Schizosaccharomyces pombe: one gene and its partner. Changing the gene in region 1 together with any one later gene gives a genetic interaction. Each region holds a gene or a part of one and is shown in the gene's direction. Other genes may lie near its edges.

The links. Genes that interact genetically often act in the same process or in processes that back each other up.
Region 2: mutations in shf1 (region 1) and ins1 together harm fitness less than expected from each alone (positive genetic interaction), as found in Schizosaccharomyces pombe (one large-scale study listed by BioGRID).

What each region holds. Positions count from the first base shown.
Region 1 is NC_003424.3:4,807,481-4,813,370, reverse strand, and holds shf1 (histone H2B-K119 ubiquitin ligase complex (HULC) subunit Shf1), read left to right. Parts: upstream 1-1,962; 5' UTR 1,963-2,103; coding exon 2,104-2,601; 3' UTR 2,602-2,885; downstream 2,886-5,890. Other genes in the region: formin Fus1, read left to right, coding at 1-146; CCR4-Not complex subunit Caf16, read right to left, coding at 306-904, 950-1,069, 1,149-1,272; phosphoinositide phospholipase C Plc1, read right to left, coding at 2,886-5,585. UniProt on the Schizosaccharomyces pombe protein: Component of the histone H2B ubiquitin ligase complex (HULC) which plays a role in transcription regulation by catalyzing the monoubiquitination of histone H2B to form H2BK123ub1.
Region 2 is NC_003421.2:415,381-419,575, reverse strand, and holds ins1 (INSIG domain protein), read left to right. Parts: upstream 1-1,908; 5' UTR 1,909-1,998; coding exon 1,999-2,571; intron 2,572-2,777; exon of another isoform or gene 2,778-2,796; coding exon 2,797-2,960; exon of another isoform or gene 2,961-3,043; coding exon 3,044-3,152; 3' UTR 3,153-3,419; downstream 3,420-4,195. Other genes in the region: family protein BIG1, read left to right, coding at 103-194, 257-1,100; histone H3-K4 methyltransferase Set1, read left to right, coding at 4,049-4,195.

The sequences.
Region 1 (5,890 bases):
CATCGAAACAAACAATCGAAACTCTAATGAATTATGAAAATGATAAACAAACTCTAGAAGGCTCAAATAAAAAGAGACAAACAGTCGTCCTTAAAGCTGAATGCATGCTTAAGCAGCTGGAGAATAACAATGAACTTAAGAGATAATGATGTTTGAAATGTTAATGACTTTTAATGACAATTAAATGACTTAAACAAATTATAATGAAATTATAATTAATAAAAGGTATAATTATTAATTCTAGTAAGACTGTAATGCTTGTTAAAGATAGAATTAAGCATCTAAAGGATAACTTTTCTAGTAATCTATTTTGCTCGGGAAATCTTAAAGTAATCAGTAAATACATCAGTTCCAACTTTTAATGATTCTTGAACGTCGTCCCAGGTACTACGCTTTTCCTCTTCTCGAGTTCCCCTATTTTTTTTGTCTTCTTTGAGCCATTCCAAACATGTCTCTAGAAGGGCGCTATTTCCCGTAGAGGACCTTGTCATCAGAGCACCAAACTTGGATATTGGTCCATAATCCACGATACGCCCAAGACTGAGATGGACCAAGTGAGTTGGCCACTCAGCTAAACCATCAAATATATGTGTTGCATAAACAATAGTAGCATTCCTTACTTCCGTTTCCTCTTGCAAAAAATTTAACAAATCTGCCCGGGCAAGAACATCCAAATCTACAGTTACTTCATCAAGTAAAAGTACTTCAAATGGACGCAGAAGTCCCATACATAGTTGAACACGTCGTCTTTCACCATCGGACACTGCATGCATTCGCCAACGAAGATCTATATCAAGAATTGAAATCAAGAAATCCCTACGTTCGGCAAATTTATCTCCTCCAACAGAAGCAATTAATCGTGCAACACTCATATCCCTATGTATAACAGGGTTGTTAACCCATTCTACAAACGCACACATCAGTAAAATTTGATGTTAAAAGAACTTACCAGTTCCTAAATAAACAAATGCAGAACTAGACTCACGAAAAGGATCTTTACCACCCACCGATATATGTCCTGCTTTCGCAAGCGATTTTCCAGATAAAAGTTTAAGTAAAGTTGATTTTCCTGTTTAACAAAATTCCAAGAGGACATCAGTTAGCATTTAAATATTCTTCATCAATTTCCATAACACCGCGAAACTTACCAGCTCCATTGGCTCCAACAAGTAAAGTCCTTGATCCTTTAGGAAGATCTAAAGTTACGTGATCAAGACTTAAAGGCTGCTTTGGAGAAAACGTGTAAGAGAGGTTTGAAACAGTTACTTCCATTTTGAAATAGAATGTTTTAACAGTAGTAAAATATAATTATCTAAGAACTTAGTTTTACAATATATAAAGGATCCAAAAAAAGGCGCAAATTAAATAACACTCAAACTTTGTGGGTTAGCTGGATTGTGTTTAGTACATCTGTGTATCAAGTAAAGTGTGGAGGGAATGCAGTAAAGTTGTTATAAGCAAGACCTCGTACTAATAAATTAGCTTTCCAAGTCTTTGTAAAGAACCTTTTTTAACTATTAAGTAATGCTGCCCATATTTGGAGATGCTATTAAGACCTTGAACACACATCCTGCGGAGTCTTGGAAAGAAAAATGATTAACATCGATGGAACAATTGGCAAACAATATATATAGGAGATAGAAGCAGATAACATTTGTAATCAACTACAATTTATGCTACATATTATTTGGCTTAAAACTAAGTAATAATACTTTCCTAAGGTCACCCCATTTCGTTTAAGACAACAGACAAACCTAACATTCGCATGGAATTTTTTAACAGCAGGCGGACATTTCTCAAATAAAAAAATATAAATATAATATTATTTCATTCCTGCTAAACGATTTTAGCTTTTCAACGTAGTATTGCCCATATCATTAGACTTAATATATTAAACAACAAACAAACATCGATATGGGCGAAGGGCTTTATATAACGCGGTACGTAAAATAGTCTTACCTCAAACCGTTTTCTCACACCGTGATTTTAATTGAATTAAGTATTACTATTTTTCGGTTCTTTAACCAATTGTTTTAATTAGATAGTGTACATTTTTCGTGAAAAAAAAGAACCATTAATATCAGCACTTAATTATTCACTTTAATGAGCAGCAGAAGAAATGACTACCACTATGATGGAAACGACCACCAGTATCGTAGTCCTTTGAAATCAAACGTTGATCAAAACAGTTTTTATGAATCTAGTTATAGGAGCCGACAATCCTACCATCAAAGAACAAAAACACCCAGATCTAGTTATGATTCACCCTCTTCATCTACAAATTCCAAGGAACACAATTCTCCCTATCATTATAGAGTCCCTAGCAATAATTCAACAAGAGCGTCTTTTGGGGCAGCTTCTACGGATACGAATGTAGAATTGCCGAAGATTAATCTTCCAGACTCGAGTTTGTCAAGTAAACTTCAAAGCTGCAAGTCTGCGTGCGAGAATTCATCCCAGAGTTTATTGAATGTCGAACAACAATACGCTCAACAAGTACATTTTTGGGAAAAAATTAGAACGGATATATACCGAGAAGGTCTACGTAGTGATGCAGCTGTAAAAAGCTTAAACGATTTTGTAAATAATGTCAGCTTCTAAATAAATTATTGCAATCATCGTCTGCGTACAAATCATTGAGCTTCCGCTTTGTGGATATTATTATGACTTTTTATTGAAAGTTTTATCCCAAACCCATATTTATAAACATGAATGTTTTTGTATAGCGTTTTTTTTTTTAAAAAAAAAAAATAAAAATAAAAAAACGCTTCATACACTCTAAACATTCTCAGACTACTTCGGTTCTCTCCCTTTTAACGTATAATATGCATTTTAGATTTTCTGAAGTTTCATTACGGTGAAAGTGCTGTAATGGACACAGCGTTCTAAATGTCTTCTTTTTTAATTTTCAAAAACAAACTCGAAAATAACAAATTTTCGCCTTGCATATCCAATAAACGAATATGTCTATAGCCTTGTTGCAGTCTGTCAATCGGACAAGTAAAATTAGCAAATATAGAGTCATTTCCATTACTTCCTCGATGATGGACGAGAAATCGGATCATGGAATAAAAGTCATCACTAATTATACTCTCATAAACCATGGTTTCTCCCCAAAAAGGTCGAAATCCATTTTCGTGCACAACTTTGGAACACCAACGAAAAGGAGATTCTTCCATTGAATGAACTTGGATCTCAACATAAGGGCTGAGAGTTTCAGAATTAGAAAGTTCTCTAGCTCTTCTAAGTTGTTGCCCAGATATGACATCTATTGTTAATTTTATTTTACGAGGAAGTCCTTCTTCGCCAACTGTTGTACCAATTATTCGTTGACAAGGTGGCTTTAACAAGTACCCAGTCGGAGGATCAGCTATAAACAAAGCATCATTTATTTGAAGACCTGTATCATAAGTTTGCCAGTTTAGAGCAACCATTTGCACACCCAGGCGCCAATACACCTGAGGATTAAAATTTGTACTTCCTACTCTCAATGGGCCAGGGTATACACGACACAAATAGCGTAAATTATGTTTGCTAAGTCTTGGAACCATAGCTTTTCCATGCTTTTTTATAGTCCTTTCCGAAAATGAGAATATGTGGCTATACGTTTTTGATTCCGGTAAAGAAAAATTTCGAAATTTCAATGATCGGGCATAAGGTGCAAGCTGTTGCAATTCCTGCACAATGATATTTTTCATCCGTCTTTTACCTTTCCTTAACCCTGTTAATTCTGAATTTTCTAGCTCCGATGATTCGGTAGTATCAGTCGAAGAATCAGTTATCCCAACCTTCAGTATGTCTGTCGAAAATTGGTGCAATGGTGTTGCTGAACATTTGACTTTCAGCAAAATTTTGTTCAGTAAATCTTCGGGTGAAGGAAGAACTGATTCGTTAGCGGTAACGGGTTTCATCACCAAAGTATCCCCAAATGCTTGTTTCATGTAACTAACCATTTGACGTTGTTGGTCAGGGCAGCAATGAATTTCCAAAGAAATGAATAATGGATAAGGTGAAACGACGAAAGCATATTTTCGTATAGCATCAATAACATCATTAAATTTTATCATAGAAGTAAATGTATGTCCATGACAAACTACAGGACCATTCGGTCCATCCCAGCAATCGATTTCAATACACTTGCAGCCACGCTGTAGCGAACGGATATAACCTTCAATTGAACTTTCTCCACCAAACTGCTTACCTAGTAAATAAGTGTTATGCGACGAAGAAATTAAGTATTCATTCAGTGGTCGCGACATATCTTGTATCACAGGAACTACTGGAGAATTATGAGGAGAAAGTAGAAAGGAAGTAAATTCTATCAAACCCATTTTTGAATCATCATTTGAGCAAAAAGAGACATACAAAGTCCTAATTGAGTCACTATCCAAACGAGCCTTTTGAGAAGTTGATAGAAAGTGACGAAACTGTTCCAAAGACATCTTGTCAGAGCCAGATGTATATTCTTTAAAAATATCTACAATCTCGGATCTTGTTTTTAAAAGGCTTACAAAATGCTGAAATTCTTCAAAACTTAGCTTTCCAGAATGATCAGCATCTGCCTTTTGAAATGTTTCTTCTAAAAACTCCATTGATGCATTCAAATGTAGCATTTGGCACATGCGATGCACGTCTCCTAGATCCAACTGTGCACTTTGCTCCTTTTCTAACTTTTCCCAGGGATTTAAATTCTCTGAATAATCTATCATTTTTTCACCTTGATGGCAAACGAGATTAAGTCCAATAATAAATTCATTCAATCGATAAGTTTTTAGACCTTCTAAAGCCATAATCCATTGATTATGCGCATCTAAAGTTGGAGATATCATATGCATAGCCTTTAATTTATTATCAGCACAATATATAATTGTGAACCAGCGTTTCTCGTTCTCAGAAGAAATTTTGTACTGTTCTCTATAATTACGAGCATCGCGGCCCTGTCGAATTTCTTTAATGTCATCAACACAAAGCTTCTTATAAGCTTTACCAGTATTCTTGTCCAGCATAAGATATCCAGATATAGGGTCTAAAGAGACTTTACGTTGGCGCACCTTTTTCTTGGTTATACGAAGTAAAGAGCATCCGTTTTGAATAGATTCAGGGACTATAGTAGCTAATAGCTGTCGAGAATTAAAGTTTTGATTCACCGAGCTCAGAGTAGATAAGTTTTCGTTACTATCGCATGAGTAAGGGTTCATTGAAGTATTTGTTCTCGCAGAATTCATTCGACCTTGCAAGCGTAGCAAAAGATTTAACTTCAGAGAAAGCCAATTCAATCCTCCATGGAATTTATTTTCTGAAGCTGATGTCGATTTCGTACTCAGAAAAGAAGATAAAGAATTTGATCGTTTACGTAGAGTACTATGAGCATCGCGATCCCTTGATGATAGCATCTTAAAGAAATCCTGCTCCGATTTCTTCCTATTGCCAACATATGGGAGATCCAAAGCAGCATTATCTAAGGTTTTACTCCTCGTCTGAGCAACTGCGTTTTCTGAGCAATCGGGCAGGCAAAATGGACTTACTGCTCTGTTGGAGTCTCCTAAGTTGACCGATTCAGGCGACGTTACCATTTCACAATTCATTATGATATCTATTTAAGGATTTACACCGCCATTGGCTTTTTGATCATTATGTTGATATTTAAAAGTTCTTCGGTTTTTCGGTTTTCATTCAGCAACAATACGCCGTGTATGTGTCAATAAAGATAAGTGGATAGCACTCAAAATTGCATATGAGCATAGATTCAATCCACCACTTTAAATCAAGTAAGCCTGATATTATTATAGGGACAAAAATTAGTTGTTTTCGGAACTTTTACCTCTTATATCGTAGGAGCTTACATCCGAGACTTTTGTTAACGTTAGTGGCAAGCGCGCTTTGGTTTAAT
Region 2 (4,195 bases), on another chromosome or scaffold:
TAGATACTGAAAGTAGTATATAGAGCTATTCTCTACCACTCCAACGCTCAAGCAATTGACAACATCCAAACTTGTCCAAAGTAAAGAAAATTTAGTGTCAAAATGTTTTCTTGGAGTATTTTATTTATAGTTTGCTTTTCTTTAGTATCAGCATTTAAAGATACTTCGCCGATTTTCTTATTTTCTACGAACTCGTATGTCCTGCATCCATCGATGGCATTATACTGTGTAAATTATTTAATCTAACTAAAAACAGCAAACTCCCCAAATCATCCGATGATTCTTCAATATCCACTTGCCCTATGATGTTTTTTGACGCCGCAATTGAGGCACTTTCGACATGCAATACAGCTACCTTAATTATACATCAACCAGGCCTTGAGGTTAATGATTTTCAGTTGGGAGCTTTTAAACATTTAAAGCGTGTTTCTTTGCAATCACCCTATAGCTTACTTCTTCCTTATTCCAAGGAGTCTTTGGACTCACAAGAGTTGGTGCATTCGGCAAAGCAAAACTGCGACGTTGAGGTAGTTTACTTGGGTGGATCCTTTAATGCTTTTCCTCCTCTTCAAAATGATCGCATAACTGTTGTTTACATGAATGAACTGTCAAATGAAAGTTATCATAGAAGTGCACAATTAATGGAATTGGATGAAATGTTCTACAACTTACAATCTACCTTGGAACAAGATGCTCAGTGGAATGTAATTATAGCCTCTTCTCCTTTGAATAACTCAGATTTTGAAGGATTTAAGGTTGATGCTAACGAAGAAGAGGCCAATGCTGAATTTGTAATTCAAACGCTAGGTGGTCTCAACTCAGGGAAGAGTGCTCTTCAACACGGCCAATTGGCTTCTTTACCTGATCAAAATGAGGGATCACAAACCACGCTTGCTATGCACCAAACAAGGAAGCACCCTGTCACCGACAATGGTGCGACGGGACTGTTTACCGAATATCAATTTTTTACTCCTGGTTTGTACATGGGTTATTTGGCATTGGCTGTATTGGTTCCAACTTTGTTTATTTCTTGCCGTTTACTTTCCTCTATTCAAATCAGCTATCACGCTTTTGATAGTCCTCGACGCAAACAGTTATAAACCTCTTCTTAAGGTGAATAAGCTGAAGAAGTTTCAATTTATTTCTTTCTTTCATAATTGATACATCTCACACTTAATTTAGAAGAAAATTATTGTCATAAATGGTTCTTGATAAGTATAGTTTGGTGACATTTTTACCTTTCAGCGCAATTCCTTAGGTGTCCAAATGGTTAGAATGATCTTTGTTTTTTAATATATTGAAGTCTATTAAATAGTTTTTTGGACTGAAGAATTTATTTCTTGTGATGAGACAAACTTTATAACCATAATATTGTTTTTTCTTTATGATGATTCTCTACGGAAGGTGAAAGTTGTTGGCATCATGTAGTCAGCATAACTTTGTTTTGCTTTTTGTATTCTATTCAATTAATATTTTTGTTTTGCGGTTTTAAAAATAGTAGATGAATTTGCTATACTTTGAATAAACTAGAGAAACCACTTTAGGCATACAGACTCAATTATGAAATTTCCTTAATTATTTAAAGCAATTTCTTCGTGGCTGATTGTTTCGTAGAATGAGTGTTTGCGAGAGTTTTTTCCTTGGATATTTTCGTTATTAGTTAACATTGTCATTACTTATGGCATGCATCTTCAAGTGATCAAAGCACAATATACCTTAACAATAAGAGTAATATGGATGCAGAAAAGTTTTGAGTATATTTCTATAATTTAGAAAGGTCAAATTCACATATAAAAGTGATTGTAAATATTTATTCATTTCAGATCTCTCTTACTTGAGATCTTTGTTACTCAAAATTGTTACTTGTCACTGGGCTATGCGTGTTTTGTGCAATGTCTCGATTCTGCCAAGTACCTAAACGTAAAGATTGATTCTTCTCCATCCATTTAGTCAGTTTCACAAGGATCTCTACAGAAAGGTGCCGTAAGCTTGAATAAAATGAGCAGAAAAGAGATTTACGAACCCCGTCCGCGCTACCCAGATGGTTATAATGGAAATCGAGCGGTCAAGAAGTCCTTGTCGGTACTTTCTTTGGACAATATGAAATCGACACTATCAGGGCTTTTTGCTCCACTTAAATTAGATGAAGAGCAGGCAGAAGATGATGAATCCCTGAGTAGTTATGAAGATTACGCGTCTAGACAGATCGATGATGATTTAAAGAAACAGAGAAAGAAAGGGATAACATTTATAGACTATTCATCTTTAATAACTTTTTTTTGTAAGCTTTGTGTTATATTTGGATTAGGGTTTGTGTTTACTTATTTGGCTGAACAAATTGTGCAAGATGCAAAGCTACCACTTCTGACGGTCAATCTCAAAAGTTGGAAATTTGAGCCCCCATGGCCTGCAATTTTTGGCTTCGTTGCTGTCATACTTGGACTCTCTTATCGACGTATGGATACGAAGTATCCTTTGGGAGCTGCCCCTTTACGCCCTTCACAATCGTCTAAATGGCAATGGATTTCTCGGTATCTTGCTGCTTTCGCTACATTGCTACTTTCTATGAAGGTAAGTTTTACATTATACGAGGCGTTCCTTTAAATAAAAAAGTGAAATATATATGCAAGATGTATGGAGTTACAGCAATTATCTATGCGTAACGACTTCTTGATATAGTTTATTCATCACCATAAATAAGTTGTGCTGTTTTCTGAGAATTTAAGTTTGATAGTAAACCCTCTTTGCCAATGCTTACTATGCATCGTGAATATACTCTTGCTAACTTATCTCTAGAAATTACTATTTATTTCGAATTCACACTCCATTGTTGCACTCGTTGCGAGTTCTGCTAGCATTTGGTATATATTTGATCGCTCAAGAAACGGTATTATTTTGTCGACAATTACTTCTGTGTTGGGGAGTATCTTATATTATAATTTGGTTGATACCTCAAAAATGTATGTTAGTTGTTATCCATCAACTGCCTACCAAAGGCTGCTCCAGTATTTTCAAACATTCGTTTATCAGCTAACAAATTTAGTGAGTTAAATGGAGTTGAATTCCCTGAAATTCAGTTTCGTTTATGGATTCCTATGATACTTTTCTCCGCTTCTACGATTGTTGGTAACGCTGGTCGTCTACTATTTTAATTTATTCTCTAGGAGTTGGTTGTTTGTGCTTTACGTTCTCTTTTTAGCCTTAGACTTCATTATCCAAAACAACCGGGTTAAACTTGTTTTGCTAAATGTTTTCCTACTTCGCATCTGGGCACTTATTTGGTTTTTCTGTATTCGATTATCCTTTTGTACCTTCTCGTCTCATTCATCGTTGTGTGCGAATCGGTTTTCTATCATGTACCAACAATCTTTTCATGTTAGTATTTTCTATTATGATTCCTAATATTCCTCATGTAGTTTATAATTATGTCTTTGTTCTAAAACATTCATCTACAAGTTTTCCTTTCTCAAGCCATTTATTCTTGCTTCTCTTCAGCAACATTGGTAGTGTAATATGCAACGGTATCTTTGGATAACGATTTTACTAAATTTCGCTATAAGAGCTACTGTGGCGCGTAATATGAATTGGCCTACCTTACACAAACATCCACAGAGATCCTATAAACTTTGTGTTTGGCCAAACGGATGTTTGACAGAGCTTTTTTACTTGTTATTAGCCTTATGAACGTATTTATTTGAAGACTGATCAAGTTTTACTTGAGTTTTTGAATATTGTTATAATTTACAAAGTAACGTCGCGCGACATACTTTTCCAATTATAAGCTGAATTACGGTTCAAATACTTTACAATAGAAAGCTCTTCATCCCGGCGATATTATTTCTTTTTACATAACGTTTTTTTTTTCATAATTTGTCAAGGCTCATTATTGGAATAAATTACACTTATCGAGTTGTTACCAAATTTTTGATTTTGATTTAGTGCACAGGTTTTTAATATCTCTTGATTTTTTTTTTTTTTTACTTTATAGCTCTTTTTTGTTTTGATCGAATGCCTGGGATTTGCTACTTGGATTCAATATTAATCAGCCATGGATTTTAATACCTCTACGCGGTCGAAATCTCAACCCGTTCAAAGGAATAATTACAAAGTTTTATACGATCCAGAATTAGGAATCAAGGAGAACCTTGGTCGCAAAATTATATATCGGTTTAATGGTGTTTCAAAACCACCTTTA